Linked DNA regions of Arabidopsis thaliana. The protein of the gene in region 3 interacts with the protein of the main gene of each other region in a biochemical or structural test. Each region holds a gene or a part of one and is shown on either strand. Other genes may lie near its edges. The genes, in order: NP1, SUC1 and HIK.

Region 1 (11,391 bases), 3.4 Mb from region 3:
TTGTGTCTTCTTTTCATATTTTGTTTTGACGGTTTTGCAGTTATTGAATCAATACGTGCATTTGAATTTCCGTGCCATCAACTACTCTGCACAAGTGTTTGTAAATGGCCACAAGACAGAGCTTCCCAAAGGGATGTTTCGCAGACATACACTTGACGTCACTGATATTCTCCATCCTGAGAGCAATTTACTTGCTCTTATTGTTCATCCCCCAGATCATCCTGGGACTATACCTCCCGAGGGAGGCCAAGGTGGTGATCATGAGGTACACCTCCTCCCTCCTTCTCTCTCTCTTGGAAGTTTATATCACTCTTCTTTCTTTGCGTTGTGATTGGACTATCCATGACAGATTGGAAAAGATGTAGCTGCACAGTATGTGCAAGGTTGGGACTGGATTTGTCCAATAAGGTTATTTTTTTGTTACAAGATTTAGCTTATCGTATAGTTTAAGGCATTTCTCTCTGACAACATTTTTTCTTCTAGGGACCGGAATACTGGCATATGGGATGAAGTGTCAATATCTGTCACCGGGGTTCGTTTAGTTGGTTTACATTGTTTTCCAGAGATGATATCAATCAATATTCTCCACGGAACGTTTATAGTCATCTTCTTACTGAATGTTATAAATTGCTTTTATTGCAGCCTGTAAGAATAATTGATCCCCATTTGGTCTCAACCTTCTTTGACGATTACAAGAGAGCTTACTTGCATGTGACTGCTGAACTGGAAAACAAAAGCACATGGAATACTGAATGTTCTGTGAATATTCAAATAACAGCCGAACTCGAAAACGGTGTCTGTTTAGTAGAGCATCTTCAGACAGAGAATGTTTTGATCCCTGCTCAAGGACGTATTCAGCACACATTTAAACCAGTGAGTGGTATTGTTATCGTATATTACTTGTTACGACTTAAATTACTTATGGCTCTGAATCTGTGATGGTGGTATTGTTTATCCTAGAAACTAATGAAATATTGAATTAACAGCTCTATTTCTATAAACCTGAATTGTGGTGGCCCAACGGGATGGGAAAGCAAAACCTTTATGACATCTTGATCACTGTTGTTGTGAATGAATTCGGAGAATCTGATTCGTGGATGCAGCCATTTGGATTCCGAAAGATTGAGAGTGTTATTGATAGTGTTACTGGTGGAAGGTAAACTTTTTATATTTCAGTTTCAGTTTGGCTTGTGTAGAATGATTCTGTGGAGGCTCTACAACTTGTTTTTGTTAATTTTCCAGGCTGTTCAAGATCAACGGAGAGCCGATCTTCATCCGTGGTGGCAATTGGATACTATCAGATGGACTGTTACGTCTCTCTAAAGAACGTTACAGAACCGACATAAAATTCCATGCAGATATGAACATGAACATGATCCGTTGCTGGGGCGGTGGGTTGGCTGAAAGGCCAGAGTTTTATCACTTTTGTGATATCTACGGCTTGTTGGTATGAATCTTAAGTTATTCGCTATCACCCTTCTTCCAAAATTCATTGCCATTTCTGAAGTATACCTTATTTATTCTCAGGTGTGGCAAGAGTTTTGGATCACTGGCGATGTTGATGGAAGAGGTGTTCCAGTATCAAATCCGAATGGACCACTAGACCATGAATTATTCCTCTTATGTGCTCGTGATACTGTCAAACTTCTGAGAAACCATCCAAGCCTGGCTCTTTGGGTGGGTGGAAATGAACAAGTTCCGCCAAAAGACATAAATGAGGCTCTAAAGCAAGACCTTAGGCTTCATTCTTATTTTGAAACCCAATTGTTATCAGACAAAGATTCAGATCCTAGTGTTTATCTTGACGGTACTAGAGTTTATATTCAAGGATCTATGTGGGACGGCTTTGCAGATGGAAAGGGGAACTTCACTGACGGCCCTTATGAGATTCAATACCCTGAAGATTTTTTTAAAGACACATATTACAAGTATGGGTTCAATCCGGAGGTCGGCTCGGTTGGAATGCCAGTTGCAGAGACGATAAGAGCGACAATGCCTCCAGAAGGTTGGACGATTCCTCTGTTCAAAAAGGGTTTGGACGGGTTTATTAAAGAAGTGCCAAATCGAATGTGGGATTATCACAAGTACATTCCATATTCTAATCCTGGAAAAGTGCATGACCAGATTCTGATGTACGGTACTCCAGAGAATCTCGATGACTTCTGCTTGAAGGTAAATTTGGGATCTTAACCGTTTTAGCCTTTACTGGTGTTGTCTTACCCTGGTGCATAAATGTTACTTTTCCCCTTAACTTAATAATGCAATGTCTATGTTCGATTAATAAAAGAAACTTGAGATCATAAGTGATATATTATGACTTGGTTTTTCCTCTGTAACAGGCTCAACTGGTAAACTACATTCAGTACAGAGCTCTATTCGAGGGTTGGAGTTCGCAAATGTGGACGAAGTACACGGGTGTCTTGATCTGGAAGAACCAAAATCCATGGACTGGTCTCAGAGGTCAATTCTACGATCATCTTCTCGACCAAACAGCCAGTTTCTATGGCTGCCGTTCCGCTGCAGAGCCAGTCCATGTACAATTGAACCTGGCAAGTTACTTTGTTGAGGTCAGTGTGATTAGTTACTCTCTCTCTCTCTGACAATCACTGTGTACGAAGGTCTCTCGAAATTAGATTCTTGATCTAAATAAGAAGTGTATAAAAGTCTAATAAATTATGTAAATAATACATGGAATCATGTCCTTTGACCCCCCGCACAGGTTGTAAACACGACTTCTAAAGAGCTGTCGGATGTGGCAATAGAGGCATCAGTATGGGACCTAGACGGGAACTGCCCATACTATAAAGTGTTTAAAATTGTCTCTGCCCCACCAAAGAAAGTTGTGAAAATATCGGAATTCAAGTATCCGAAAGCAGCAAACCCAAAGCATGTATATTTCCTTCTTCTCAAACTGTACACTGTCTCAGACAAAGCAGTTATATCCCGGAACTTCTACTGGCTGCATCTGCCTGGAAAAAATTACACACTCTTGGAGCCGTACAGGAAGAAGCAAATACCTCTCAAGATCACTTGCAATGCAGTTATGGTGGGTTCAAGATATGAGCTGGAGGTCAATGTTCATAACACATCTAGAGCTAACTTAGCCAAAAACGTTGTCCAGGAAGACGAAAAACGTGATCTGGGGTTGCTCCAGAAACTCTTTAGTAGATGTGTTGTTTCTGCAGATAGCAACCGTGGTTTGAAAGTAGTGGAAATGAAGGGATCGGATTCAGGAGTTGCTTTCTTCCTTCGTTTCTCAGTTCACAATGCAGAGACAGAGAAACAAGATACGAGGATTCTACCAGTACACTACTCAGACAACTATTTCTCACTAGTTCCAGGTGAATCAATGTCTTTTAAGATCTCATTTGCAGCTCCTACAGGCATGAAGAAGTCTCCTCGTGTTATGCTTCAGGGCTGGAACTACCCTGATAGGTTTAGTGTTTTTGGTTGAGACTATTCATGTTTCATGTTTGTTACATAACTGCCTGTAATCTCGAACCTTTCAATAAATGAAACTTGCACAGGTTTTAGCAATTTGTAGCGCACTTAAATATGCACCCGACACTCACATTACACACATCTAATACCTTCAACAACCAGTTCAGAATCATATATTCAGACCAAACCTCGTGTCTACTTTTCATCACAGCAAGATAAGAGTTACAGATATATATACTAGTTGAGCAATCAAAAATCAAAAAGCCGGAGACTTTTTGTGCAAGTCATTTTCCTGGTGATGCAAACCTCGACTTCTCTCTCTGTCGGCTCATGCCTCTGTCTCTTGGGGATGATCCCAACCCTGCTTGGCGCATGATTTCTGCAATAACATAAACCACAAGTCAACTTACCAAGCTTACAAAAAGTGGATGCTACAATGTCATGTTTCTCAACATTACATGATTGCATGTTAACAGTGGTCAATGCAAAGCGCCGAATTCTAAATTCTAAATATGTAAAACTTAAAGAGAATCTTTGACATTTTTTTGCTAGATTAATAAGAGTGACATACCTTGTCGCTTTCTTTCCAGTTCTTGATCAAGCTCTTCCTTCCACTTCTTCTCTATCTCTGACAAAGCAACACTGCAAAGCCAAAACCAGCCAATTCAAGCAGATTCAGGAATGAAACAAGAAGCCTAGACTAAGTGACAGATTTAAATCGTTGCTGGTCAATAGCTAGGCTGAATTTAAACTCTACACGTTTGGAGTTGGGTGATCATAGCTTAAGATAAGCATGAATGGGACTTATTTCTGTCTTCTTGATTCCTACCGAGTTTCTAAAAGAGGAAATTAAGGAAATGTCTAAATCCTTAAAACTTAAATCCCAATTATCGCAGCCACTAACCACTGGCTTAATTCCTGCTTAGTGTCAACAACGAGACCCCTCCAGTCTGTGACCCGTGCTGATACACCATCCTGTGAAGCTTCATCACCTCCATTGTTAATATTCAATTCACGACTACCTCCACTTCCTGGGCTCTTGGAACAACTAGTTGCGTCTGTTGCTCTTGAAGGTGAACCACCAAGAGGGCCCCGACTCGGTGACCTGCTTTTTGGAGGCAGTTTCAGGAAACCACGAGCAGTGTCCTCTCTTTTACTGTTACTTAAATTACTCTCCATACAACTGGGAGAGAATGTGATCAAACTATTGTAGAATTCTTCATAGAGAGGAGTCTGTAACTTCTTTAGATCTGCAGCCTGAGACAAATACATATTCACTGCCATGTTAGTGATTTACGTAGAAAATGCAGTGAGGACAATGAATAATGTAGTATAATGTGCATGAGGGACCTTCTCATCTAAGAAAGCTTTAATTTTTGACTCGGTCAGCTCATCATCATCCTCTGAGTATGAAGGTTGGTCACATTCCATGCTCATTGTAGACTCTTTCTCTCCATTACCAGGACTTTCGTCAAATTTGGACTTCAAAGCAATGGACATATCACTTATGTCATCACAGCTCTGTACACATAGATTTTATAAGTAATGCTTACAAAACAAATTGAAACATGATCCAAACAAGAGTTGAGACTTGATCAGCCATTGGAATTCTAAATGAGAAATCATATGTATGCTACCTTCTTCAGATGACAATCTTTTTCAAGGGTAGAACTCATTTCTCCGTCAAATGTCAAGAAATTCTCATCATCTATCAAACACATATCGTCTTCATCACCTCCATTATCATTTTGTTGCCATAAATTTTTGTTTTGGATTGATTTCACAGGATCTACAAGTGAATAATTCAAACTGCCAAAGTTACACATGTCACCTACATCGTCGCAAGTAGAATCTGGACTGAAACAAAGGAAACAGACAATAAACCATCAAAATCTTTCATAAACCCACAAAATAATCTTAGAAATTTTGGTTTCAGCCAGATATTCAGAACTTACGTGCTCTTGGTGTTATTTATCTGTAACGGTAGTGGAGTGCTAAGATTGTTCTGGAAAATAACAAAAATAATTTTATCAAGATGGCTTCAAGAAAAAGTTATATGATATTCATAAGACGGTTAACATCCACCCACCAGGACAGAACCAAGATCAGTAGAAGCAGACTCCTTGTGTTTCCCCATAACAAAAGGATGCTGCGAATAAAACAAAATCAGGAATTTTACTCAAACCTTTCCAATTTAATATTGCGGGCATCACTCAAACTATTTATACTTCACCTTTAGTAGCTCAGATGCGGTTGGCCGCAGATTTGGTACCCTGTCAAGACGGATCCAATGATTCAGCAATTCCAAAGACAAGACACAATAGTAGTGAAGGAAGTTACTATTAAAAGTTCCAAACTAATGTTGCTGAAGCAAAGTAGCTTACTCCTGCAGACACTTGAGCAGAAAATCTTTTGCATCAGAGGAGAGAGTATCAGGTATTGGAGGATGTGATTTTGTTGTTCCTATGAAGAAGATAGCAGCAACCTGAAAAGAAAGTATGTCCACTTGTAATTAAGAAGCAAAATTATTCACGAAAAAATATCACCAGAAATACGAACAAATTACCTCTTTATACTGCTGACTCCAAGGAGCCTTCCCAGTCACCATTTCAATAACTGTACAGCCGACGCTCCATATGTCAGCAGAGCTGAGAACAATAGCCACAGGTTTGTGAGAAATCAAAAATATGGGACATAAGTCACCAGGACTACAATTAATAGCCACAATTGTATGAGTATCAGTTACAAAACATCTAATTTTGCATTTACGAGCACGCTTGGTTTCTTACAAGCTATGTCCAGTTTGAAGAATAACTTCCGGAGCCATCCAATATGGTGTCCCTTTCATAGATTTTGCACCAGTCATCGTAGCCTAGAGATGAAATCAAGTCAATCACATTAAATCACTCTGAAGGATATGTTATACTAGACCAACTAAGAAATAAGAGAATACACAGAACAGAATGCTTCCTGCAATATACTTTGTAGAAAACAAATTATTTTTTGACTTACCAACTCAGCTACTTGTTTGGATGCACCAAAATCAGCAAGCTTAATGCATCCTTTATTATCCACAAGGATATTAGCCCCCTGAGAAAACATAGAAACATATAGTCTCATGGGTAAGGACTCGAGATTGTAAGCACTTATAAAGTATGGAGAAAAATTGTTACCTTAATGTCTCTGTGCATAATTGCATGATTGTGCAGGTACTCCAACCCTAAAAGCAGTTGCCTTGTGTATGTCCGGACAACCTAATTCAATCGTTCTCACCACTTAAGCAATGCACACATTGTAAGAGATTGAACAAAAAAAAATCCAAGCATGACTTACTGATTCAGGAAAAGGTCCAAATTTCTCCAAGAGCGATGATATCGATCCACCGGGAACAAACTCGAGAAGGATATTCAGGGTATCATCTTCCCTCACTGTACCCAAATATCTCTAAGGCCAGAAAATAAAAAATACCTGAGTTAGATAGATAACACAAGGAAGTGTTGAATCCGTATGCATTGAGAAGGAGACAATACCAACAGTTACTTACAACTATATTAGGATGGGAGAGATTTTTAAGAAGCTTAACTTCTTCTTCAAGCTCCTGAATATGAGCCTACTTAGCACCAACACAGATAACAAACTCAATGAAGTACAAAAATCAATGGAAATTGAAAGAGGGAAAACTCGATGAAATGGATTGTTTATGAACCTGAGTCTTTTCCTTGGAAGCAAAATTGGCTGCAATCAGAACCTGAGTAGAACAAAGCTTTTGAAGTTCAGTACACATGCCAGAGAATTAGGTCATTCAAAATTAAGTCCCAATTAGCTTCAAATCCACAGCAATCAGAAAAACAAACCCTAAATTACCTGTTTGACGGCGAGAAGCTCCCCGGAGTCAAGATTCATACCCATGTACACCGTACCAAACGCGCCGCGACCAATTAACTGACCTTTCCTCCACGAAATCGGAGGTGCCATGTCTACAGTGTTAGCAGGAGGAGGAGGCGAGAAGGAGGGTTTGATAAAAATCTTCGATTTGCGGATGCAAGAGGTGATCTTATCGGCGAGAACACCGGGAAACGGAGGCTGGTTCTCCTGGTTATCGTCGTCGGAAGAAGGACGGAAAACAAGCGATCGACGAACGGAGCCGAAGAAATCTTGCATTTGAACGATTGAGGGAAGAATGCGTTTCACTGTTACTCTAATTTTGATTCATCGGTCGGCACAAAAGTGTTAACGAGTGAGAGGGAAAAAAGGCATCGAAATTATATTTTTGAAAAGAGAAAATTACTTTACTTAAATTACGCATATTATTATTCCAAATAAAAGTATGGTTATTAGTCTTTGTAAAAAACTAAAAATACTTTCACTCGAACGAAATATATATCATAACTACGTATAATGTTTTTCCTTCATAATCCACAATTACCTGTTAGAAATTAAATTCCCTTTCAAAATCTTTACGTAAAGAAAAAAAAAAAATTAAGTCTCTTGTTGAATAAGCGAGTTTGATGACTCTTCTCATTGACTTAGACGGTTCTTCTTCCTAGGATCTTTTATTCTAATTTTCCAATGATTTTCAGGAAAACCATTGAGCTTAGCCATTTTCCTCCACTTCTCAACGTTCTTCTCCATCTTAAGATTCAAACCACAATAACCTTTCAGCTTCTTAGGCATCTTGTCGTACACTTTCCACCATCTCGCATGCACCGACTCGCTTGCATACACACGTCGCGTTTTCAAGTCCCAGTTACAATCGTAGTCTCTGTAACATCGCCATGGTTTTAGTCCCAAGTAGTGTATGCCCTCTAAATTTTCTGGAAGATTGCGCGCTTTATCATGCCTGCTTTCATCACCAAAGTATTTCATCGTATTTAAACGTTTTGATAACCTATGCCACCACACGAAATATTCGTTCAGAAATCCTTGGTCTCCCCCGTTGTATGACCCGATCTTGAATGATTTAAGCATCAAATCCTCGAATAAACAAGCTGATGGCTCCAGAACCTGAAGAAAACCAGACTTTCTTATATAAAACATATGGAAAATTCGATAAAATAAAATAGTAAGAAATGGATTGATAAGGCAATATCTTTAGAAACTTAAAAAAGTCAACATATTCAAATCAAACAATCTATTGTTAAAGATATTTGTTAGTTAGATGCATTACCATGACTCCTGAGTTGAACAAGACTTTGTTATTGCCAGCGGCAGAAAGTTGAGGATAGGAGAAAAGGTAATCAATATTCTTGACGATGATGAAGTCTGCGTCTATAAACACTAGTTTGTCGTAATCTGTCACTTGCCACACACGTAACTTACTGTAGTTCCACTCATTGTAAGAACGCTTCTTGGAAAAAGGACTACGAATTCTCTCCACTCGCCGTAGTTTCCAGCCAGCAAGGCTTAGGCCAATGAGAGAGATGTTGGTTATAGAGTCATCGTGGAGGAGAATCATGTCCTTGGTTGATCCAGATTGCCTTATGCTTTGTGCTAAGGCTATTGCTCCGCATACGTATACCTCCGATGAGTGTAGTAACGTCACGTAAGCGACACGTTGGGCAGTAAATGATGATAATGTAGTTTTTTCGGATGTGAGATTTCTGTTCTTGTCTTGTATCCATGCTTCTCCTTGACCTTTAACAACGAATAAGAAATAGTTAGCGAAACATTGGAATTTTTTAACTATGCATTATGTCATCATGCATGCGACAATAAATAAATAAATAAATGAAGAAAACATATTGACCTATGAATAATAAAGCCAAAATTACCTAGCGGAGCAATCTGACATGAACCAGGAGGCATGAGAAGCTTCTGCTTCAACCTCGTAAGATCAGGCCTATAGACCCAATAGTCCCCCACGCGCTTCACGCGCTCATCACACCTAAAGATCTCATGCATAGGCCCACAAGATCCGATGAAGACAACGTACACAGTCCGATCAACATTCCTCCGACCACTCTCCACCACAAGATTCGCTGCCGCCAGATTCACCTGTAGCCTGAAAACGTCTCTTAACCCTCTCTTCTCCGAGAAACCATCGCACGGGACTTTGACAACGACGACGTCCACGTCAGCTTCGGAACCTTCCATCTTAGGGAGAGGGACTTCTGGACAACTAGGAATGTGCCACGTGTGATCCTCGTCGATCCAAACCGGGAATAAACTCGTCCATGTCAGATTGTTCGGAAGAGGATCGAGCGACACGTGGACATTCTCCAAGATCGACGTCCCGCTTGCCTCGTAGCTCTCTCGCTCGTTCTCTGCGATGTTGAGAAGACCCACTCGGATCTTTTTCTCATCCGGAAGATAGTTTCTAATGAGTCGGAGCCATATCGGAGTCCGTTTAACCGGTTCCGGCAAAGAATAACGAATCTCAACTATCGAAGGAGAAGCGATCATGGGGTTGAGCAGAAACAGAGGTTTAAAGTTTAAGAGCAAACCCAAAAACGACAATGATATTAGTATAAGATAAAACATAAAAAATCTCGTACTCGAACTTTTGCTTTTGGCCCCCATTTTCCCCCAACTCTCTCTCTCTCTATGCTCTTAGCGATGTCTATAAGATACATGTAATGTGTACGTGAATTTTTCATAATCTCATATACATCAACGTATATGTGCGAATTCATGGGTGTATGATTGAAGAAGGATCTTGAGATGCATGGACGCACGTTGGCGTAGAAGTCAATTCGTTAGGTGAGTCTACGAATAATTGTGTAATAAACTTCCATGCGCAAGTTAGGCGCCTGTTTTGTGTTGTAATTAAGAATTAGTTTGAACAACAGGTACAGGTGTATCGGATATATATCAAATTGGTGACCAAGCTTGTGATTGTTTTGTTTTTAAATAGCGATATCAAACATTAAACAAACATTGGTAGTTCATTTATGCTTTTATAACATATTTTGTTGGCTATAGCTACGTGAATTTGTTGTCGTTAACGTGGACGAAATCATTCAAATCGCATTTTAAATTATTTATTGTTAATTAGTCGGTTGATAAATCTATATCAATCGCTATAAGGTGATGATCAGGTATGGCCCATACAAGCTGATTATTGGGTTAATTATTATAAAAGTTATAAAAGTTGTAGAAGCAAACAAAAATTGCTTTCAAATTTTATCATAAAAATTATTACTATTTTATAGTTTTTGACTCTTGAAATTCTGCTGTTTGTTTTTTCGTTGGATAATTTTTTTAAGTAGATCAAACATAATTTGAAATAGGAAAAACAACAAATTAAATGATTTATTAATCTATGTGCTGAAACTCTAAACAATATATAAAATGAAACATAAAGAATTTATAGTATACATATATGTGTTAACATAATCGTCAATGGTAAGTATTTGAGTTAGTGTTAAGACGCAGGTCACAATCTATTATATATAACATGAGAGTTATTTTATTTTGTCAAAACATAATTTATTTTGACTAACAATTGTATCGATCCAAAACAAAAAATCTAACAAAATATCCATAATTTAGATGACAAATTGAAATGCAACTTTTTTGTATGAAACATATAAAACCATCCAAGATATAATTATTAGACAAAAGATTAGTTAAATAGATTTATTAAGAAATTGAATTGAATGTAAGATAACATTCCCGGTAAAAGAAATAAAATAAAATTACATAGAAAATATAAATTTGGTATTTTGCCAATATAACTTGATGACATCGCCTGCTTTAAGATTTCTTGCATCTCTAAGTTCTCCCCACCCACGTCCGATAAAATAACCTCTTTGGCTTTGTCTAAGATTTACCCAATAGGAATTGGTATTGTCTAGAATTTCTACTTGAATACCCATTCGAGGTACTGGAACTCCCGTGCTTCTTACTATGTTCTCAACCTTATCTCTTGGTAAAATCAATTTATTATCATGAGAACAATCGGTCTCTGATAGGGTTTTTACTATCATCATATTCGGATCCATTTTACTA
Region 2 (9,368 bases), about 21 Mb from region 3:
AGGACCGGCGATTTCCCGGTGATGCTCAGCCGATTTAGTAACAAGAACCGTCATGGCCAAACCTATGGCGAGTATGAAATTCACACATCCCCAAAGTCGTTTAGCTCCTCCCATTTTCCGACCAATCGATTCAACACCAAGTGACACGAAACCAAGAAGTATAGAATTAAACATCAATCCCAATGCACCAGCCTGAACTCCTTGGTCGTAAAGTTTCTTCGATCGTTCATCTCCATCTGAGTTTCCACCGTACACTTCACGACCCATCCAATCGGTATCATACAAAATAAATGGAAACCAAGCGATCCAATTAATGACCGTGACAATTAGAAGCATCACCATGGGACGTTTCATGTGTCTAACAGCTCCAAAGATTTCTCCAAAGAAAAAAAGACTTGATGTTTTCTCCTCCTTGTCTCCTTGAGGTGGAGACCATTGTTTGTCTTTAACGTACCATAGAGACGAGAATGTGACGATAAGGAGGAGAGTGATGGATAAGAAGAAACAAGTCTTGAGATTCGCACAATAGATGTCGCAAGCTTTTGTCATTGTGAAAGGAAACATTTTGTGAAGGTTAGTGTAAGATCCAGCAGCGTAACCCAAAACGTTTCCAACCGCCATAAAGAAGGAGAAACACGCGTTTGCGACTCGCGTTTTTTTAGCGTCTCCGGCGGCTAAATCGGCTAAGAAAGCACGGCATGGTCCTTGTAAGGTGTTGTTAGCCACGTCGAGGAACCAAAACCCGGTTAGGAAGATTATAATGGCTCGAGTCCTTACCTTGTTCTCGAGTTTATCTCCAAAACTATGTCCCATATCCGCCGCGAATCCGATAAGGAAAACCGAGACGGCTACGAGTGCGACTCCGGCGGCAATGAAAGGACGACGGCGACCGAATCTGGACTCGCATCGGTCACTGTGGTAACCGACGATCGGTTGAACAATCATGCCGGAGATAGGACCACAAAGCCACATGTAAGACGACCATTTGTGAGGGATCCCGAGGAGTTGTATGTAAGGAGTCAGAAGAGAAAGCTGTAAGGCCCACCCGAACTGTACACCGGCGGCGATTGAAGCGACGGAGATGATCTTACGCAGAGGAGATGGTTGACCGAGATCTTCCGGTGACGACTGTGTCTCTAACGCCGTAGCATTGTTGGCGGCTCTTTCTGCTTCCAAGGCTCCCATTATGAAAAGAAAAACGAGCAGACAAAAAGAAAAGAGTTTTTTTGTTGTGAAAGTGGGGATTTAGTTTTGTGATGTAGGAGATGAGACATTGGAGTTGTATTTATAGGCGAGGAAGAAGAAGGAATGAGATTATTTTCCAGATAAGAGACGCAGTTAGAAATCTCATTTGTGTGAGTGCATGACAATGTGAGGACACGTGGCAGTAGGTCATTAACTCCTCTTTGTTTTGTTTTTTTTAGTTGACTAAACTTAGTTGTTTACAAGAATATTTAAGGTTTATAATTTAACGGACGTCCTTATTTTAGTAGTATATACTTTTTAATATTTTTTGGTCAGTATCTTTACATGAGAATTAAAATGTTTCTAAGTAATTTGAATTAATCAAATATCAAATTAATTAAGTTTAACAAATTTTATTTAATGTCTATTTTTTGAAGTCATATTAAGTAATTTATTTACCTAAATAAAAATAAAGTAAAGTAATTCAACTTTTCCCCCATCTAATTCAAAAAGAAGTGCCATAAAAAGGACTTATTTTCTCTAGTGTGATCTTCTGGGTCTTTCTTGTTAACAAAAGAAGACTTTAGTTACACACAATGTTTACTGAAGGCCAAAAACAAAAACCAATTCTATTTCAAATTAAAGTCAGTAAGAAGACTAAAAGAAGGGTGAAATAGACGGTCCAAGGTTTATTAGATTTTACCTTTTCATTTATTTGGGTTTTGCACAATAATACTGTATTTGTCTATTTGATGAATTTCATGAAAAGGGAACATAGAAAATTAATGGAATCCAAGGTGACACTGTCACACTACTATCATTTGTAGTATCACAATTGCCAAACTTAAAACTCCTTAAAAAAAGTCATGTACAAAATCTTATTTACCCTCATTTTTCAAATAATTAAATGACATAATTTAAAAACCTTAATTATTTACAAAATCCAAATATATATATCAATATTTCAAAACCTCTAGTTGAATAAGAGGTTTCAATCATTTGTGGTAAATTGCATAAGAGGTAATGAAAGGATGATATGATTGTATCCTTAACATTAAATTGTGAGGCTGAATTTGTTATTTTAACACAAATCATTTAAAATGTTTAATTGAATACACACTCCGAATGTATTATAAAGTAGGATTATTGCCTATCAAAAATCTTGCCTCGGTTTACAAAAAAAATAATCAAAAATCAAAAGACTGGGCTGATACACCTTAGTCTTAAAAGGAGTATTGATCCAGGCCAAATTATAGAAGGCTTCAAGTCTGTCCAAATTGAAAGTTGTATTTTGATGTATCTATTATATTTATTTAGCCCAAAGGCCTTCATTTATGTTACGCCAGCCTTGTTTTGATCGTTTGCAACTTAACACAATAGACTGTCCTTTGTTGATTCGATGTGTTCTGAAATCAACATACTTGCCAAAGTTGCCAATTAACGAAGTCGTGACAACTGAGTCCGAATTGTATAAAATGGATATGGACTACCTGTTCTTACTCACTAATTAAGCAGTATAAACATTCTTATATTTTAGGCAAATATTCTAAAAATTGGTGGAAAAAACTTATATATAGATATGTAAAATGTTGTATCGCCACTGAGGGTTCAAGCCCGCATATTGTTGACCAAAACAATCTTTCATTTTGTAATATAAAAAATGATATACTTATAAATGATATTGTATGATCTTCAAAAACATTGGTTGTTGCCTAGTATAAATCATCAAGTTGTTAAGTGTCATACTGTGCTAAGAAACATACTGTATAGTTTATATTATAATACAGTGTGTTTATAGAATACAAAAATGTCATATTGATTGGACTAGTTGTTTGCAAGAATATTTAAGGTTTCTTATTTAATATTTAATATTTTAATATCTTCTAGGTTTATATTTTATGTACTTACATGAGAATTGTTTTAATATTTATTAATAAGTATTTTTAAAATTATTAATCATATTAATTAATTTAACTGGTATTATTAATGGTTATTTATCGCCTAAACCGTTCTAAACTACATAAATTGTTCAACTTGTTCCCTATATATAAAAGAATTGCCATACATTATTATCAAAATTTTCTTTTCTGAGGGTAGAGGGAATTACTTTCTAGTTGGATATTTGTTCTACCGAAGCAAACAGTAAACAATTGTACTCAACACACAAATCTTATTTAAGGGCAAAAAAAAAAAACATTCTATTTCAAATTAAAATAAGTGACAAAAGTTATAAAAAAAGAAGAAAAAAAACTAAAAAAGGGTGAAATACAGACGACCCAAGGTTTATTAGATTTTATCATTTTATCCATTCTTTTCTTTTATTTGGGTTTTTGCAGTTTCGCACAGTAATACTGTATTTGATGAGTTTCATTAAAAAAAAAAAATAGTAAACTAGTGGAATCCTCCCATGGTCGTTGCCTTGGGTGCGTCCGGTGGTGGTGAAGGTAAAACGGTTAACGCTAATACTCCACTAATCGCCGCTGCAATTGCTGCAACGATAAACGCCGGTAAGTTTCCACCGCCGAACAAGGCGTCGAAAGGTCCACCTCCTAGTGAGACTATCATTTGTGGTATCACAATCGCCAAATTTAAAACTCCTAATGAAAGTCCTGTAAATCAAAACATCACAAAAACAATTTAAATACCTATGTTATAATTGCATAAGGTGGATGAAACCAAAATATAATAGTTACGGTCCCACATATTTGTAACTTTAGTAACTTTAATATTAAAGATGTATATATTTACCTTGGCCTGCACCGGAGCAGCTTGAGAATATGGATGCTAGAGCAAAAGGAGTACTGAAAGTAATCTGTAAATAATAAAAAACGAATCGATTAATGTTAGTTTAAGCAAAGCAAAAAGTTTTTTAACAAGACAACACAAAAGTGTACTTACAGCTAATGGGATACCAAGAACAGCAAAGAGACTTAAAGCTCCAGCTTTAACACTAGCGCTCGGTCCGGCTAAATCACCGGCGGTTTTCCGGTGATCCTCGGCGAATTTCGTAACGAGAACCGTCATGGCCAAACCAGCGGCTAGGATGAAATTGACAATACCCCAAAGCCGTTTAGCTCCTCCTAATTTCCGACCAATCCATTCAACACCAAGTGACATGAAACCAAGAACTATAGAGTTAAACATCAATCCCATTGCACCAGATTGGACTCCAAGACTGTATAGTTTCTTCGATCGTTCATTTCCATCTGAATCTCCACCGAACACTTCACGACCCATCCAATCAGTATCGAACAAAAGAAATGGGAACCAAGCGATCCAGTTTAAGGCCGTGACGATTAGAAGCATCCACATGGGACGTTTCATGACTTTGAATGCTCCAAAGATTTCACCGAACAAAGGAACGCTTGAGGTCTTCTCGTCGTCGTCGGCATTTCGCGGCGGCGGAGACCATTGTTTGTCATTAACGTACCAAAGAGACGTGACGGTGACGATGAGGAGGAGAGTGATGGATAAGAAGAAACAAGTCTTGAGATTGGCGCAATAGATATCGCAAGCTTTTGTCATTGTGAACGGAAACATCTTGTGGAGGTTAGTGTACGAACCAGCCGCATAACCCAAAACGTTTCCAACCGCCATAAAAAAAGAGAAAAACGCGTTTGCGACTCGCGTTCTCTTAGCGTCACCGGCGGCTAAGTCGGCTAAGAAAGCACGGCAAGGTCCTTGTAAGGTGTTGTTGGCTACGTCGAGGATCCAGAACCCGAGAGCAAAGATCCCTATAGCTCGAACTTTAACCTTCTCCTCGAGTTTATCTCCCATTTTATAACCGAAATCCGCAGCGTAACCGATGAGGAAAACAGCGACGGCGACGAGTGCGGCTCCGGTGGCGATGAAAGGACGACGGCGACCAAATTTGGACCTACATCGGTCACTGTGGAAACCGACGATTGGTTGAACAATCATGCCGGAGACTGGACCACAGAGCCAAATGAGAGATGACCATTTGTGAGGGATTCCGAGGAGTTGAACGTACGGAGTAAGAAGAGAGAGCTGTAAGGCCCACCCGAACTGTACACCGGCGGCGATGGAAGCGACGGAGATGATTTTACGAAGCGGAGATGGTTGATCGAAATCTTCCGGCGACTGTGTCTCTAGAGCCGCCGCATCTTTAGTTGGTTTTTCTGTTTCATAGGCTCCCATTATCAGGAAGTAAAAAAAAAAACACGAATAGACAAAATAGAAACTTTAGAGGAAAAAAAAGAAAAGAAAATTTGTTTATTTTTCTTTTTCTTTTTTTTTTTGTTTTTTTCTGTCTTCTGTTTTTTTTTTTTAAGTGAGGTTTTTGTTTTGTGATGTAGGAGATGAGAGAATGGAGTTGTATTTATAGGCGAGGAAGAAGAAGAAATGAGAGTTTTATTTTGATTTTCTTATTACACTTGGAGATGATTATTTTTCGGATAAGAGACAGAGTTAGAAATTTTAATTGTGTGAGTGTATGGCAAGGTAGGGACACGTGTCAGTTAGAACATTAACTCTCCTGTTCTTTTGTGTTCTGTTTTTACGGGAATTTAATTGGTTTCGCTTTTTTCTTGCATCAAGTGACTTGGACGTTGATTCAATTTCTCTCTCACAGTTTTTTTTTAATAAAAAAAGTTCCGATATTCAGTACCGTTTTGTTTGGGTAAACAATAAAGTTTCTATGATTCCGATTGGGTAGACAAATTTAAACAGTGTGTATATTTATATGTACTATATCACATAAGTCACATCTGATTATCGGAGAACAATTATTTTGTTTGGTTTAAAATAAATAATTGTGAATTGTCCAAATCCCTAATTTATATGGTACTAAAAGAATGAAATATCTAGAAGATACTAAGAAATGTCTTTGATTTAAGATGGAAAAACGACTTATATGCACCCTCTATACTTAAAACTCACTAGTTCATAGCACCTAATGAGATAGATGGTTCAGGGCAACATATACACTATTCTTTTTCGGACAGTGAAGTTATATTCACGATCACCTACCATAATTAATTGGCTTATCTAGCGTAATAATAGTTGTAGATCAAATCATAACATATCCGGCTCCAATTACGGTCATGGATCAAGCATCGCCAAATATTCTCTGATCATGGATTATATTTCCGCAATATTCATAGTCTGGAGATTATCACAAAAAGATCCGAGTGGCCAAACACTTTCCAAAACTAATGCACACACATTCTTATCCGAACAGTCCCAAAGATGGTATGCTATCTTTCACGTCCATATATTTTAGAACCAAATGTTATCCTTGACGTCCAAGTCTTTCGACCCAACATCAGCTTTGTAAACATTAAATTAATTTTATCATTTTTGCATTGATCACAAACTACTGAAAAATCACTTAGTTTGTATGGTGAGTTTTTTTTTCGACGAAAAGATAGTATATTTTGGCAATGTTGTTAACTAGTGATGGACTGAAGGATATCAAATTTAATTTTTTAAAAAAAAAAACATTGTGACAACAAAATAACAAATATAGAAGCATTCAATTATATATATATATATATATAAAGGGAAAATAATCAGTATTTGTCCGCCACTAATTAGTTGTTAAATTGCCTAAAATCCAATATATATATTAAAGTTTACATATTAATTAGTTTCTGTCAAATATCCAAAATTAAGCGAATTGTGTAACGGAGTTATGTGACAGAAACTTTAACCCTAAAATTTGCTTCTTGTAATGCAAGATACGATCGCAACTCAAAACTCATTTCCCATTTATTTTGGATTGTTTATCCGACCAATTAAGCATTTTAATTTTAGTCACTACATTTTTGTCTTCGAGCTGAATAGTACTCTATATACATTTTCTCCAGTTTTCAACGGGCAGACGACTTGAAAATATATTAAAATAACCAAAGCATTTACTAGTATAACTCTTGGATTTTAGTTGTCTGTGAATTAGTCTCAAATGGCTCACATGTTTGTCAACTCCTTACGTTGTCTTTCTACTCCTCAAGTCTCAACTACTTGGACGTATGTTCCATTTGTTGTTAATTTTCACTGTAGTTTCAATTATCTCTCTATTCGCTTATTTTAACTATATGAATAGGTTGTGCAAACAATTTATTTTACCCGTCTATCTGATTAGTAACACTCCAACATATTGGTTGTGAACCGAAAACTTAACTGAAATAAAACCAAATTGGTTAAGCTGTGTTTTGGGAATCGATAAAATAAGGCAGGATTCAATGTTGATAGATATATTTGGATAGAGAAAATAACAGTCAAAAATAGGCCAATGAGAGAGGATATAACTTCCGATCAACCTAAATATATAGTAATACTATCATATTAAAAAAACATTTTGCCCAAAAATAAATAAAAATAATCATATTAAAAAAAGATTATTAGTGTTTATAGTAGACACAAAGAAGAAGAAGCTATTCTTCACATAAGAAAAGAAAAGCAACGTATATTTCGAGGGCGACTTTCTCTCTATTTTCGTTTGTTTTTTTTGAATGCCTTTCGGAAAACAAATCAATATTAGTGTAACCACAGAAGAATATATCTGAAAACATAATGTCAAAAGTTTATATGGTACATTACATAATTTCAAAATATTAATGACAGAAAAATATATACAAAATATTAAAGAAGAAGAAGAAGCAAGAGTAATTATTAAGGCCACCTAAATTATCTTTTGGAATTATAGAAATATCCATAGGATACGTACTCTTTTTCGTTTATATATAAATAATCAATCTTAATTCAAGATTCAATTAGGTAGATAACCAAATTCTGGAACTTAGTTAGGTGAATGACTATGAAATATTTTATCAGAAAATACCCTCAAATGGAGTACAAATATATATATATATATATATATATATATATATATATCTTTCTATATATATAGACATATCTTTCTATATGTGATATATGCATGAGAAATTAGTTACCAAAATATAAATCATTATAAATCACCAAATGTTATGTTATATGACCTTAGCCAAATATACAGCATTAAACATCATTAACAAGGTTCAAAACATTTGCATCACTTTTTGTAGCGTTTTTATTTATTTACTCATGACTCATTAAGTAAAAGAAAAATTACATCCACTTTATGAAATAAAATCAATGTATCCCGCAAAACAAAGTGGACACTAGATCAATGCAATTCATTTCCTTATAGTTTCAGGGACATGACAATAATACAGGTAACATGAATTATTAAAATTCAAAAGGTTTTGTCAAAATGAAATTATAATTTTTTTTCCCGAAATTATAGGGTCGGGGATCGGGACCCCAAGAGAGGATTATAGTTTGTTGTAGCCTAACGAGATCGTGGTTCGCCCCATCATTATGCACTCGTAGTTGAATATGACTCGGCAATGAGTATTTTTGCTTAATTTTCTTTTAAAGTTCAACTATTCACCATATTATTCTATGAGATTAGTCAACATATTAATCACTGGAAGATCCAATATTAATCATTTAGAACACTATAGAAGTGTAAAAGAGATCAATAAAAATAATGTAAAAGAAAAACAGAACGAAGAGAATGCTAGCTAACAATAACATTCTTAGAGAGAGAGAGAGAACGGCTTATACTTTTCGATTTTTCATCCAAAATAATATTAGCTGAAAAAACATAAACAAGAAAAAAAATAGATAACAATATTTCAAAACTGCCTTCGTCGCACAACGATTAAATATTTCACTCTGCACCACGTTAAGATCTCGTTGAATAAGTCTATTCGATATCTATGTTTTGCTTCACATAACATGTTTAATGTTCAAACAGTTACTAGTTTTTAACTACTTCAACTCAACGTAACTCTTAACAATCGAAAAAGACGAAAAATAATCTGTGGTAGAATGTTTGTCTACTCATAAATGGAATTACAATTTTGGTTTCTACAGCTTCCAAAACCAGCACAACACAAAAGTTTTTCTTATAAAGAAGGTTTACTTATTTTCAATGAACATTAAGGCCAACTAAATTTAGTTATAAAAGTAATAATTAAATATGACATATGGCGTGGCGTAATTAGGAAGTCGATCGAGACTGGACATCATTGTTGGTTTTGAGCGCATAATTGTCAAAAAGGTAACGAGGGAAGTTGTTGACTCATTGACCTCTCTAATTAGTAATTAGTTAATTACACTCCAACTATAATTGTTCACACGCTTATCTTCCAATTATTTTTATTTCATATATCTAG
Region 3 (12,258 bases):
TTTCCGCCTAATGGCTACTTCCTCATCTACCACCGTCGTCGTCGGCGAAGAAGGGGAAACACCGCAACCAATGTTCATCTTCCTCTTCTTCTGTGATGATTTTAACCTCATCGGAAACGCCTCCACCGACATTGATGATCGTCGAGTAGCTATGACACTAATCGGAACATCATTTCGATTTTGAATCCGGTTTAGTAATCTGGGAAATGAGCTTCTAGTAGCAATTACGACCGTTCCTTTACTTGAACAGATCATAAACAAAGAGAATTCAAAGACGATTTTGTATCGCCTTCTTCTGAAATTTTGAATGGCCAAAAAAAACAAAATTTGGGGTTTTTCAGAACAGAGAAAAACTCAGAACTAAAGAAGAAATTTTTTGGAGAAGCAGAATCGACAAGACAGTGAAGCAAATTGGAAAGTGAAAATCTTTCTTAAGGAATGATTCGAGAGAACAACATTAACATTTAAATAATATTTTGATTTTTTATTTGTTGGTTAGTAGCTGAGATAATTATATGGTTGTCCAGCGAAAAAGACGAGGAGAGTCTTCCAAATATGCCACGTTGGCACATCGTTGTTTCCAATAAAACGCAGTGTTTTGGACAACTTTTGGTTAGCAGTTGGACTTGAGGGTTTAGCAAGCTTGTCCTCACAAGGTTTAAGAAATCTAGACCACTATATTAAACATAATCAGACGAGTCTGGTAAAGCTTATTTAATCAAATTCAGAGGAGACAAAGAAGTGTCGTGTACTTTTACAAATCATAAACACACAATAAGTCTTCATAGGTGAAGAAGATTAGAGATGTTGTCCCAACCAATGTTCCACTGTCTTTTATCTGAAGGCACTGCGAAATTGAGCTCAAACATCTCTTTAGAGATGTTGCCACTTTCACAGAATCCAACTAGCTTCGCAACTATCTCTGCACTCTCTTGCACGTGCCTTGAATCATAAGGATCAGTCCATAGCTTGTTCACGAACTGAAGTTTCCTCTGTTTCCCTTCCAATGGCACATCCCATTTCATATACAGCTCCTCTCTCTCCTCAGGCGTCAATCTCGAGTTAACCCTTTTCGCCAAAAACTCTCGCTCTCTTCTCAATGCTTTTATACTGAAAACGAAACAAGACCATATTAGTTGAAGAAACTTTTACAACAACATTTTTCCAAGTGAGAGTTATTCATTCATTCATTACCTTGATGATAGAGAAACCACAGATTCATCGCAGTTTCGAGCTGGAGTTGCGTTTCCTACTTCTGCTAGATGTTGTTCTAACCAAGTTAACCGTCTTAGCTCGACTTCCATGTAGATTTGATCGGCTTGGTCACCTTTGAACAGTAGGTAGAATTGTGTCCTGTGGATTATGGAGACATGGCAGACATGCCACAGCTCTATGATCTGTTGTCTTTCCTCTATGAAAGTTATATGCCACGCCACTTGATTCTGCTCTTCATCTTCCATTATCGTGTTCTCCTCGTTCTCTACACTATATCCAGCTCCATCATTTGCTTCCAACTCAAGCACCTGCGTAAGTTCAAAACTGATGAGAAAATATAAAAGGAGGAAAAAAGGTTTATTTATGGGTTGTGATCTTTATCTAACCTGACAAACGAGAAGTTGTTTCTGGTACTGTAGTTTAGCTACTCGTTCTTTGAGTTCGGTTACGTATGCTCTTATGCTTCTTACATTCTCCTCTGCTGCGTTTTGAAACATTTGCTGCATTTTCTTCATGTTCACTGAGCTTGATCTTCTGTAGCCTGGAGTACCTTCTCTTGACGAGACATCTCCGCTTTCTTCTCCTTTCTGTGGAGTCTCTTTCTCAGACCCCTGTGGTGTCGTCGCCCCTCTAGCTGCAGAACTGTTGTTTTCTTGAGGAGCTTTGTTCTCAGCATCACAATCCAAGACTTGCCTAGAAGCTGAAAGCGGAGAGCATGGAGATTTCAAGAAGTTCTGGCGGTTGGATGCGCTGCTTGGTGTCAGAGGAAGAAGCTTCTTCTTCTTTGATTGATGATGATGATTCTTTGTCTTTGGAGTCTCATCTCCAGCACTGATATTGCTCGGAAGAGACATCACCAACTTATCTATTGACTTCTGAACGCTCTCAAGTTGCTCCTCTAGATTCGCAATGGTGCTTCCTTGTGAATGGAGCCTTGTTATCTCTTCCTTGAGATTGGCACTTACGCTCTTGTTAGGAGCTATGACATCTCCAACCTCTTTAAGCATTGCAGATGGTTTAACAGTACGCATTTCCCTTATCTCTGCTTGAAGCTTAGCTATCGTCTGAGCTGCATCTTGATTCCCTAGTCTATGGCAAGCTACTTCCTTTTGTAACACTTCAAGGGCTTTCGTTGCTTCCTCCCCTAACTGTTCTTGAAGGTGTTCGAGTTTGCGGATTTCATGCATCAATGTAAATGGAGCAGTTGATGATTGCCGTATCATAGATTGGCGCATCGTAGTCTTTCTTGCTCTCTCATTCCGGTTTAGCGTTTTGTTCTCCGAGCTAGGCGTTACGGCAACAGAATAGGAAAGACATTTTCTGACCGGTGGGTCTGGAGATTCAAAAGGATTTAAGCCCTGAGATTCAACAAAAGGTTTAGTTTAAACTTCAGCCAACGCTTGTGAATATATTTAGTACAGTAGATAGACAGAGAGGTAGATTAAGAGACCTTATTTTGTTGCTGATCCCCTTGAAGCTTTTGGCGTAACTCCTCAAGTTGAATTTGTGCATCATCTCTTTGTCTTCTAAGCTCTCCGATTTCCATTTCCATCTGAGAATGTCACAAAATAGCCATAAACTAAGTACCAAAGCTTTGGTTCAATTATATATTTTGGTGATCTGAAATGGACAGAAACCTGCTGGATCTTGAAATCCTTTTCTGTCGATGGACCAGGGGTGCGACGCTCGGCCTCCAATCTAGCCACTTCTTTCTGAAGATGTTTCACTAGTTGCTTATCAGAGACAACCTGTAGATAATAGACAGGAAGTAAATATTTTAGTTTGTTTTCATCCAAAAGGGCACTAAGATGAACCAAAAGCATGGAACAAAGATCATTACCATGTTCACGTGGGCATTGTTTGTAACTTCCTTGGCTCGGTTGGCGAAGTATAGAGTATTTCTTGATTGTTCAACATGAGCCAAAGCTGGACTCAATGTACATATAATGGCTGTTCGAGCATTCCCACCTAGTGAATGCTGTAAAATCCTAGTAAGCTTGGAGTCTCTGTAAGGTATATGGCCGCTTCTTTTCCCCACACTATGAAGAGTTCACAGATTCAGATTAAATAAGTTTCTTACTTAAAAAGTATTTGAGATTGAGATTTTAATCTCTCAGAAAATATGTAAGTACAGTACCTTAATTTCCTTATGACAGTTGTAAGTGTCATTAGACTTAGATTGATATGACAACCTTCCCTGAGTCTCGTTCCATCTGCCTGCGATTGTGATGCTCTTTCGCTTCCTGCTAAGTCCACAAAGTTCTGCAATACATTCACACACACACACGCACTAAGTCCACAAAGTTCTAGTTAATCATTATGAAAAAACAGAGAAATTGAACAGAGAGGGATCAATTTTTACCAGACTAGCCATATATGACCTCACACAATCTGAATTTTCGCGGTGAGTACTTTGTATTGTCTGTTTTGCCATCAAGAACATGTTATTAGCATTTGCAGAGTATATGTATCTGTGTTTTAAAGAATCAATGAATTAAGATCATTACCAGTCTGATTATTTGGTGTGACCGCGAGCTAGTATCATTCAAAGCAGTTTCTCCAACTTGTCTTTGAGCTAACACAAAGAAAATAAACACCAACAGTCAGTCTTACTATCCAGAATGAACCAGGAGAATAGAATTACAAAAAGCCAAGTAATTCAAGTTACCTTCACAAATGCTAATCAGATGCCGCAAATGGTTATCGTTATTAGCTGTTTCTTCAACCAGTTTTTCAACCACAGTACCTTTCTGCAATTGTGGATAAATAGGTTATTAGATCAACGAAAGTCTAGACTGAATCAAGGACATAACATCAGCAAGAACATAATCAATGTATAAAATTAGTATGATACCTCTGGATCATCAAGGAGTTTAAGGGCACGTCCCGAATCTGAATTGAGCAGATCTCTGACATTTTCATTATATATTTCCAGACCAGAAATCTTGATAGTAAAATCTCTTTCAGGGGTCTGGAAACAACAGTGAAACAAATAAAGGTATTGGTCAGAAGAACTGCATTTGACGTCTAAAACATTGACTCTGACCAAAGCAGTGCTTACCTTAATTATGTGATTGTAAATATCATTGACAGCTTTCTCCGTTACTCCTCTCATGGTATATGTCTTTCCACTGCTTGTTTGTCCATATGCAAATATTGTTGCTGAATCATTAAAAAGGGAAGTTAGTCATCTATGATAAATCCGAGTAAAAGACAGAAGAATCATTAAAAAGACAAGTACCATTTATGCCCATCAAAGCAGACAATGCAACATTCTTAACACCATCTTCATACACATTCTCTGTTAAACTCTCTGGTCCAAAAACTTTATCTGAAATCAAAAGAGTGCATTATTAGCCATCAAAAACCGCAGGACTTGAAGAGTTGGAAACATCAGATATAAAACTTCAATTACCAAATGTAAATGAGGACTGATGATGCAAACGTTCTTGAACTTGTGGTTTAGACACAATGGTGTGGTCATTTACACATTCCCAAGCAACTTGGTCTTTAGCTAACAGTTCTCTCTTATTCATTGGCCTTAACCTTACAGTAACAACAATCTTCTCTTCCCTGGATCTTGAGCTTCCACCTGGTGTTACAGCTGGTGTTCTGTCCATCTTCGAAACCGGAGTTCCCGGTGTTTTTATAGTCATTTCCCTACAAAATATTCCCAATTTTTTCATCAGATCTAATAGATCAACTTAATTCTAAGCTTAAATTCTCCCCCAAATCTATCAGATCTATGGAAAAAAGTTCATATAAGGCAACATTGTGCAGACTTAATCCATAAAAAGGTAATCTTTAGTTTTTGCTCATAAAAGGAAAATTTAGCTTCTTCAGATTAATTTCATCAAATCCAGAAATGTTATATTCAAAACTTCCTAAAAACGTCATTTCACTAAATAGTTCTAACAAAAACAATAGTTAAGAGAGATCAAAAACACTTACAGAGAAAAAAACGAACAAATGAATCGGAGTTTTACTCTCAGATCAAAGAGAGAGATCTCAGGCAGCTAAGAATGTAGAATCGTCTCAGATCGACGATAGAGATAAATTAAAAGAATAAAAGAATATTGAGAGGAGAAGATAGTGAGAGCGGTTTCTGGGTTTCGTGTATCTTTGTGGTAGAAATGATGAAGAAGAAGAACGGGTTTTGGGGGTTCTTTTGTCTTTACGGAAACCCGTGCAGAGTGAGATTTTGAATCTGACGAACCTCTAACGGCTAGTTCTTTCCACGTTTCTTTTGAGGGGCTTTTATTTTTAGCTTATTTCAAAAGCTCTCCCCACGTTTTAATTTCTTCTAGAAATCACCTTTACCTCAATTTTTTCCATGGATAATTTTCTCATTTACTGTTTCTGCAAATTTTCTCTATAGATTTTTTTTTTTTCTGTCAATTATCATTTCATCTTTAATTATTACTTCGGTATTTTGTTTTTTTTCTTAGCTGCCAATTTTGATGTATTTTGTCTTCTTGTAATTATTATTGGCCCTTAACACAAAACGGTCATTTATTGTTATTTTCTTTTTCATCCTCTACAATTTTAATTTATTTGCAGATCAAGCGGGAAATAGTAACTACTAACCAATTTGGCGTATAAAAATAGTAAACTACGTTTACACCCTCATTATACTTCACTAGGCAGAACCTCCCCTCTATTGCAGCAAGTGGGATTGGAATATTATTATACGAGTCTTTGAGGTGTGGAGTCAAGGTCTTCGGCATGAGATTTTGAAATATCTGCAAGCCTGTATATTTCGTTTTTTATAGCAACTTTAGTTGAATATGTGTATACAAATATTAAGAAAACAACATAAATGGATAAATAAACTCAAAAGATAACACATGTATTCTCATTTTCCTTGGTCAAAAATTCAAACTTCAAAAAAAAAAAACAATCAATTCTCCATCTCTTTGCTATTTATTCAATGGTGTGTTTTTGATTGGATCACAAGTCTATCATTCAGTTGACTTCATAATAAAGTATATCAAAACCATGTTCACTCAGATTTTGATGCAATTATATGCTATTGGACTATTTCACCAGTCTGCAATTTCTTTTACAAAATTATGATTGAAGTCCTTAGTGAGGTTTAATGAAATACTAACATAAATTTTCACATAATACTCTTTTGTAATTCGATTAACGTTTTTTTTTCTTTTTGTGTATAATCATCAGTTCTCTTCATTCCTTTATATATATAATGTTTTCTTATATTCATCAATTTTATAAGTTTGCAGTCCTGTTATATATTGGAAGCATAAAATCGCAGTGGAATTTTCAAGAAAAATTGTTGACATACTTAAAAATGTTCTTTTGGGTCAAAGAATTAAAATGTTTATAACTTACAAATAAGTCATTAATTAACCTTAGTCGAACAATTGCATTTGTATGTAACTATGAAGTCGATATTTATAGGTATCAACTATCAAGTCGCTTTCAGTCTGTCCAAAAAAAAACACACTATAGTTTCCAACAAGTCAAATAACCATTAAAGATCTGTATGAATCTCTGACCGTTCATATACATAAATAATTTATTTAGGATGTAGTTATAATGTAATCACTAATCAGCGATCATAATCTGTTTTAAATTCGCCGGACTGTAATTAATAAAAGTCGTCACCGATCATTTTGACCAATCTTCCATAAAATCCCCAAAACCTCTCACCAAAAAAAAAAAAAGAAGGCTTTAGTTGTCAAAACCCAATGTCCATCTTTTTTTTCTTCATCAGCTTCGTCGTCTTCTCCGTCGCTGACCTCCCGTCGTGCTTCTCAGCCGATCAACAGTACGAGGAGTGTCGCTCACGTAATCTGACATGTGGATCTGGACACAGGGTATTCGAGAGTACCACGTATCCGTTCTGGGGTGGATTCAATAAACCCAAATTCTGCGGTCATTCGTCATTCAAACTCTCCTGCGAGGGTGATCAAAACCTAACCCTAGCGATCGGGAACATCACTCTTCGCGTTGTTTCTGCGAATCTGGAGGATCATAAAATTTCCGTTGCCGATGATAGTCTACTAGACGGAGGTTGCCTAAACATTTGGAACTTCAACGGGAAGAATCAGTTCACATTAGACTCCAACACCGAGACGATCGATGTATTCGTCAACTGTTCCGGCGTAGCTCCGTTGCAGATTTCTTGCGAAGAAAGCTACGAGGATCCGGTGACATATCATGTCTTGCGATCGTCGGATTCTGACGAAGGTTGTATGAAATATGCAGAAATTCCGATGCTGAGGTCTGCTAAGGACGAGCTTCAACGGTCCGAACTAACTTTTGTGGAAGCTTTGAGAAAAGGATTCGATTTGAGGTACATCATGGAAGACAAAGCTTGCCGGAGATGCATTGATTCCGGTGGGATTTGTGGTTCGGCGTTAGATTCGGAGAGTTTCCGGTGTCTATGTGCGGACAGACCTCACAACTCCTCCTGCGACGATAACACTAACCAAGGTTAGTCGTTTATCATTTAGATTCAAGCTTTTACTTCTTCTAAGATTAGTACCACTTTTCTTCTAAGATTAGTACCAATTTCTGTTCTTGATGTGATTAACATTTAAGATTAGTTTCGTCAGACTCCAGAACGTATACTTTGACCAAATTGGTCGAGAATTGTTATCGTCATTGACCAAAACTTTTAATAATCTTTAAAGACACATTTTGACTTTTTCAACCTGGATTTACGTGTCCAGTTTTCTGTTTATCATTTGTCCCAAGTATTTATGTGGTAGTCTTCGCTCCAAAAATATTAGGGATTACACAGCTGGTGTTTTTGTAGCGCGAGCATGCTGCTGGATCAAATCTTGGGCTTTTTGGGTCGAACCTACACTAGTTATTATCGATCCGGTTTTACTTTTTCATGGTCGGTCTTAGAAGAAGCAAAAAAACGACTTTTTAATTTTCTTGCGTTTGAAGTTTCTGCTAGTAGACCGACGACGACTCTAACCGACCCTCTCTTGAAAAAATCTCTTTTTACACAAAATCCATTATACTTCCACTACAATGATTTTTCCAGTTTAAAAAAATAAAGAGCACTAAAATTCCCATAAAAGATTTTTTTTGTGGGGTCATCTTCAACCTCAAAGGCTCAAAGAGACAAATTAAAAGTTTCAGTTTTTAAGTCAAATTGCAGTGTTTATTTTCTTTACACCAAGAAAATTAGTATTATACTCTTTCAACACACTAGTTGAACAAACATTTTAACTCTCACCCACTCCTCCTGAAAATCTTTGATTTCTTTCTGTTTTGTTCTCTTCTTCTTGTTTCTTCTTCATCTAGTTTTTTCTTAAAAAATGAATCCTTCAACTCCAAGTTTACTCTACACATCCATCTTCTTCTACTTCACAATAATAGCAACTCAAACCCTCTCTCTTGATCCAAAGTTCAAGGCTTGTGAGCCGAAATCATGCGGCAAAGGTCCCCAGATCTCCTATCCATTTTATCTATCTGGAAAGCAAGAATCTTTTTGTGGTTATCCAAGTTTTGAACTCACTTGTGATGATGAAGAAAAGCTCCCTGTTCTCGGGATCTCCGGTGAGGAATATGTCATCAAGAACATATCTTACTTAACACAGTCGTTTCAGGTCGTGAACTCAAAGGCTTCTCATGATCCATGTCCCAGACCGCTGAACAATCTTACCCTCCATAGGACTCCTTTCTTTGTGAACCCTTCTCATATCAACTTCACTATACTTTACAATTGTTCCGATCACCTGCTGGAGGATTTTAGGACATACCCTCTTACTTGTGCTCGAAACACGAGTCTTCTTCGATCTTTTGGGGTCTTTGACAGAAAGAAACTTGGAAAAGAGAAACAAATTGCATCCATGTCGTGCCAGAAACTAGTGGATGTTCCTGTTTTAGCTAGTAATGAGTCTGATGTGATGGGTATGACTTATGTTGAGATTTTGAAGAGGGGTTTTGTTCTGAATTGGACTGCAAACAGTTGCTTCCGCTGCATCACCAGCGGCGGGAGATGTGGAACTGATCAACAAGAATTCGTATGCTTGTGTCCTGATGGACCTAAACTTCATGATACTTGCACGAATGGTAACCACTTGTGAATTGACGTCTAATTGATCTTCTGACATGTTGTCCCTTCCTTTTTCTTTGCTTTAGTTTTGTCAATACATTGTTAAAGGCTTTTTTACAATCTCTGACTGGTTAAGTAACTTTTAGTCTCAATCTATATGTTCTTACGAATGCTGAAATCTGAAAGTCCATTGACTGGTTTATTCTTCTCTGTTTCTTCATTCCAGGCAAAAATGATAAAAGAAGGAGAGTGATAGTGAAGGTACTCATAGGTAAAATTCTTTAATCTTCTGTTTTGGGAAAAAGACTTTGATATGTGGTTATAATAACTAACCAGTATTTTAATAGATTCGATTTGATTTATGATGCTCTTCGCACCATCAAAAGATATAAAATTCTACTTTGGCAAAGTTATGTTATGCTCTGTTGTTTCGTTAATCATCCCGCTCAAGTTTTAACAGATTACAAAATCCATCTCAGGTGCATCCGCTGCGGTCGTAGGATTAATAGCTGCGAGCATATTTTGGTATGTATACCATCGTAGAAAAACAAAAAGTTACAGAAATTCTTCAGCATTGCTTCCAAGAAACATCTCATCAGATCCATCTGCAAAGTCTTTTGACATCGAGAAAGCAGAGGAATTATTAGTCGGAGTTCATATTTTCTCTTACGAAGAACTTGAAGAAGCCACTAATAACTTCGACCCATCTAAAGAACTCGGTGATGGAGGCTTTGGTACTGTCTATTACGGTAAGCTTAAAGATGGACGAAGCGTAGCCGTTAAACGGTTATACGATAACAACTTCAAAAGAGCAGAGCAATTCAGGAATGAAGTTGAGATCTTAACGGGTTTACGCCATCCAAACCTCGTGGCTCTCTTTGGATGCTCCTCAAAACAGAGCCGGGACTTACTGCTAGTGTATGAGTATGTTGCAAACGGCACGTTAGCTGATCATCTACATGGTCCACAGGCAAACCCTAGCTCACTTCCTTGGTCTATTCGGCTCAAAATCGCTGTTGAAACTGCCTCTGCCTTGAAGTATCTCCACGCCTCCAAGATCATCCACCGTGATGTTAAATCCAACAACATCCTTCTCGACCAAAACTTCAATGTCAAGGTCAGTAACTCACACTGGTTATTACTCAATCTGGTGGGATTTTATCGGATCATAATCTTAACTTCTTTCTGTGTTTTTTTTACTGTTTTCGACATTTTAGGTTGCGGATTTTGGACTCTCTAGACTGTTTCCTATGGATAAAACGCACGTATCTACCGCTCCACAAGGAACTCCGGGATATGTCGACCCGGATTACCACTTATGCTATCAACTCTCAAACAAAAGCGACGTGTACAGCTTTGCGGTAGTGTTAATGGAGCTTATCTCTTCACTTCCAGCAGTCGACATCACAAGACCGCGCCAAGAGATCAACCTCTCGAACATGGCAGTCGTTAAAATCCAGAACCACGAGCTCCGCGACATGGTGGATCCGTCACTTGGGTTTGACACGGATACAAGAGTGAGACAGACGGTGATCGCTGTCGCTGAGCTGGCGTTCCAATGCTTGCAGTCGGATAAAGATCTTAGGCCATGTATGTCGCACGTGCAGGATACGTTGACGAGGATACAGAACAATGGATTTGGTTCGGAAATGGATGTTGTAGATGTGAACAAGAGTGGACCGTTGGTTGCACAGTCTCCAGATAGTGTCATTGTGAAATGGGACAGTAAGTAAAATTAGTCGCACGGCCACTAACATTGTATGTGTTTATTATTTGTATGTTTAAAATTGTCAGTTAACAGTTAGAGAATGGTGTTCGTGTTCTGTATTAGATGATATTTTTGGGAATGTATATAATGATGATCTTGTTCCGATTCCACCTAGAGAGGGACCGTAACATACAAAACTTCGTGATTGGGCCTGACCGGACTAAATCAGCAATTTTGTATTGCTATTTGCTGCCAACTGAAACTATTTTTTTATTAGTGGTTAATTTTATTTTTTTACGGAAAAGGTAAAAATATTTGAGACATCAAAATAATGATGGTAATTAAGTAACGCCAGCTCAGCGACGGCGATGACTATCCACCAATTTAACGTCAGAAGAATATATATATGTATATTGAGCTTATCTTCTGTTTCCAATGTAAGTGGAAAGTCCACTGCTGCAATCACAATGTAAGACCTGCATCTATGAAGTTTTAATGAAAGACACTTTCAGAGAAAAAAAAAAAAAACTTCTGTTTCCAAAATTTCCTAATTAAAGCACACCAATTTGGGCATGGATGCTTTACTACTTCTATTAATGAACAAGTTAAAGAGTAAGTTGTCTTGAATGAATGAAATTGCATGTGAATCAAATCCCTCCACCATACATAATAGATAATCTATAGTAATGGCCCAACTAAACATTGACATTTGTTGCAACCTAACTCTTTCCTAAAAGGAAGAAAAAAAAAAAAAAAAAAAAACTCTTTCCTAAAACTCAATGTGTTTGATCATCACAAGGACAAACAAAGGAAATCTCTAGTATGCCGATTAAAGTGAAAATTTGTCTTCACCAATATAAATAATTTGGTAACTTAAACTTTAACTAAAGATTCATAAATTGGCGTCAACTTATGTAAAAGAACCTTCATATATACTTTCGTTTATCTCCCTATATTTTTATACATACACATATTTATAGTATTTTTGTCGATTAATTGGCATTGGCCATTTGGAAGTTATAATTAAGTTGGCAAATGGATGTGATCTCTTACCCTATACACCTACATAAAAAACCCTCCATGCAAAACATTAATGGATGTTTTCATTAAAACAAGTTTTGATATCAACTTAGTTTGACTAGCTACATCCATTTCAATATTTTCTTCCCAATATTAATAATAAATTTAAAGATAGACCACTAGTTCTTAACCTCACACCAAACTGACTAGAAATGTTCTTCCCCCTTGCAAACAGAGAAAGCCTAATGGAACCCACGACCAAACATTGGTCCTACTT

Evidence for each region.
Region 1: the proteins of HIK (region 3) and NP1 form a complex in vitro, tested with the Arabidopsis thaliana proteins (one study listed by BioGRID).
Region 2: of the proteins of HIK (region 3) and SUC1, one has a biochemical effect on the other in vitro, tested with the Arabidopsis thaliana proteins (one study listed by BioGRID).

Annotation. Positions count from the first base shown.
Region 1 is NC_003070.9:2,887,322-2,898,712, reverse strand, and holds NP1 (NPK1-related protein kinase 1), read right to left. Parts: upstream 7,693-11,391; 5' UTR 7,603-7,692; coding exon 7,306-7,602; intron 7,190-7,305; coding exon 7,148-7,189; intron 7,052-7,147; coding exon 6,986-7,051; intron 6,886-6,985; coding exon 6,775-6,885; intron 6,696-6,774; coding exon 6,615-6,695; intron 6,532-6,614; coding exon 6,454-6,531; intron 6,314-6,453; coding exon 6,231-6,313; intron 6,090-6,230; coding exon 6,008-6,089; intron 5,927-6,007; coding exon 5,826-5,926; intron 5,715-5,825; coding exon 5,675-5,714; intron 5,591-5,674; coding exon 5,531-5,590; intron 5,447-5,530; coding exon 5,397-5,446; intron 5,299-5,396; coding exon 5,079-5,298; intron 4,963-5,078; coding exon 4,792-4,962; intron 4,699-4,791; coding exon 4,346-4,698; coding exon of another isoform or gene 4,318-4,345; intron 4,084-4,317; coding exon 4,013-4,083; intron 3,821-4,012; coding exon 3,726-3,820; 3' UTR 3,531-3,725; downstream 1-3,530. Other genes in the region: AT1G09010 (glycoside hydrolase family 2 protein), read left to right, coding at 41-265, 350-408, 484-532, 643-873, 987-1,156, 1,243-1,447, 1,528-2,172, 2,340-2,567 and 1 more; PGSIP5 (plant glycogenin-like starch initiation protein 5), read right to left, coding at 7,960-8,445, 8,609-9,075, 9,213-9,960; AT1G08985 (AP2/B3-like transcriptional factor family protein), read right to left, coding at 11,079-11,384. UniProt on the Arabidopsis thaliana protein: May be involved in an oxidative stress-mediated signaling cascade that phosphorylates downstream MAP kinases MPK3 and MPK6. May suppress auxin signaling that promotes cell cycle.
Region 2 is NC_003070.9:27,050,309-27,059,676, reverse strand, and holds SUC1 (sucrose-proton symporter 1), read right to left. Parts: upstream 5,648-9,368; 5' UTR 5,344-5,647; coding exon 4,084-5,343; intron 3,998-4,083; coding exon 3,934-3,997; intron 3,795-3,933; coding exon 3,577-3,794; 3' UTR 3,213-3,576; downstream 1-3,212. Other genes in the region: SUC5 (Major facilitator superfamily protein), read right to left, coding at 1-1,185. UniProt on the Arabidopsis thaliana protein: Responsible for the transport of sucrose into the cell, with the concomitant uptake of protons (symport system). This transport is both voltage- and energy-dependent.
Region 3 is NC_003070.9:6,318,950-6,331,207, forward strand, and holds HIK (ATP binding microtubule motor family protein), read right to left. Parts: upstream 5,430-12,258; 5' UTR 5,167-5,429; intron 4,876-5,166; 5' UTR 4,872-4,875; coding exon 4,631-4,871; intron 4,547-4,630; coding exon 4,457-4,546; intron 4,378-4,456; coding exon 4,277-4,377; intron 4,187-4,276; coding exon 4,070-4,186; intron 3,966-4,069; coding exon 3,884-3,965; intron 3,791-3,883; coding exon 3,723-3,790; intron 3,638-3,722; coding exon 3,578-3,637; intron 3,478-3,577; coding exon 3,353-3,477; intron 3,255-3,352; coding exon 3,056-3,254; intron 2,964-3,055; coding exon 2,853-2,963; intron 2,768-2,852; coding exon 2,666-2,767; intron 2,574-2,665; coding exon 1,602-2,573; intron 1,524-1,601; coding exon 1,195-1,523; intron 1,111-1,194; coding exon 783-1,110; 3' UTR 501-782; downstream 1-500. Other genes in the region: AT1G18360 (alpha/beta-Hydrolases superfamily protein), read right to left, coding at 1-255; AT1G18390 (Serine/Threonine kinase family catalytic domain protein), read left to right, coding at 8,514-9,270, 9,480-9,514, 9,714-10,370, 10,471-10,986. UniProt on the Arabidopsis thaliana protein: Probable plus end-directed motor protein that functions in the NACK-PQR (ANP1-MKK6-MPK4) MAP kinase signaling pathway, which is essential for somatic cell cytokinesis, especially for the cell-plate formation and its expansion.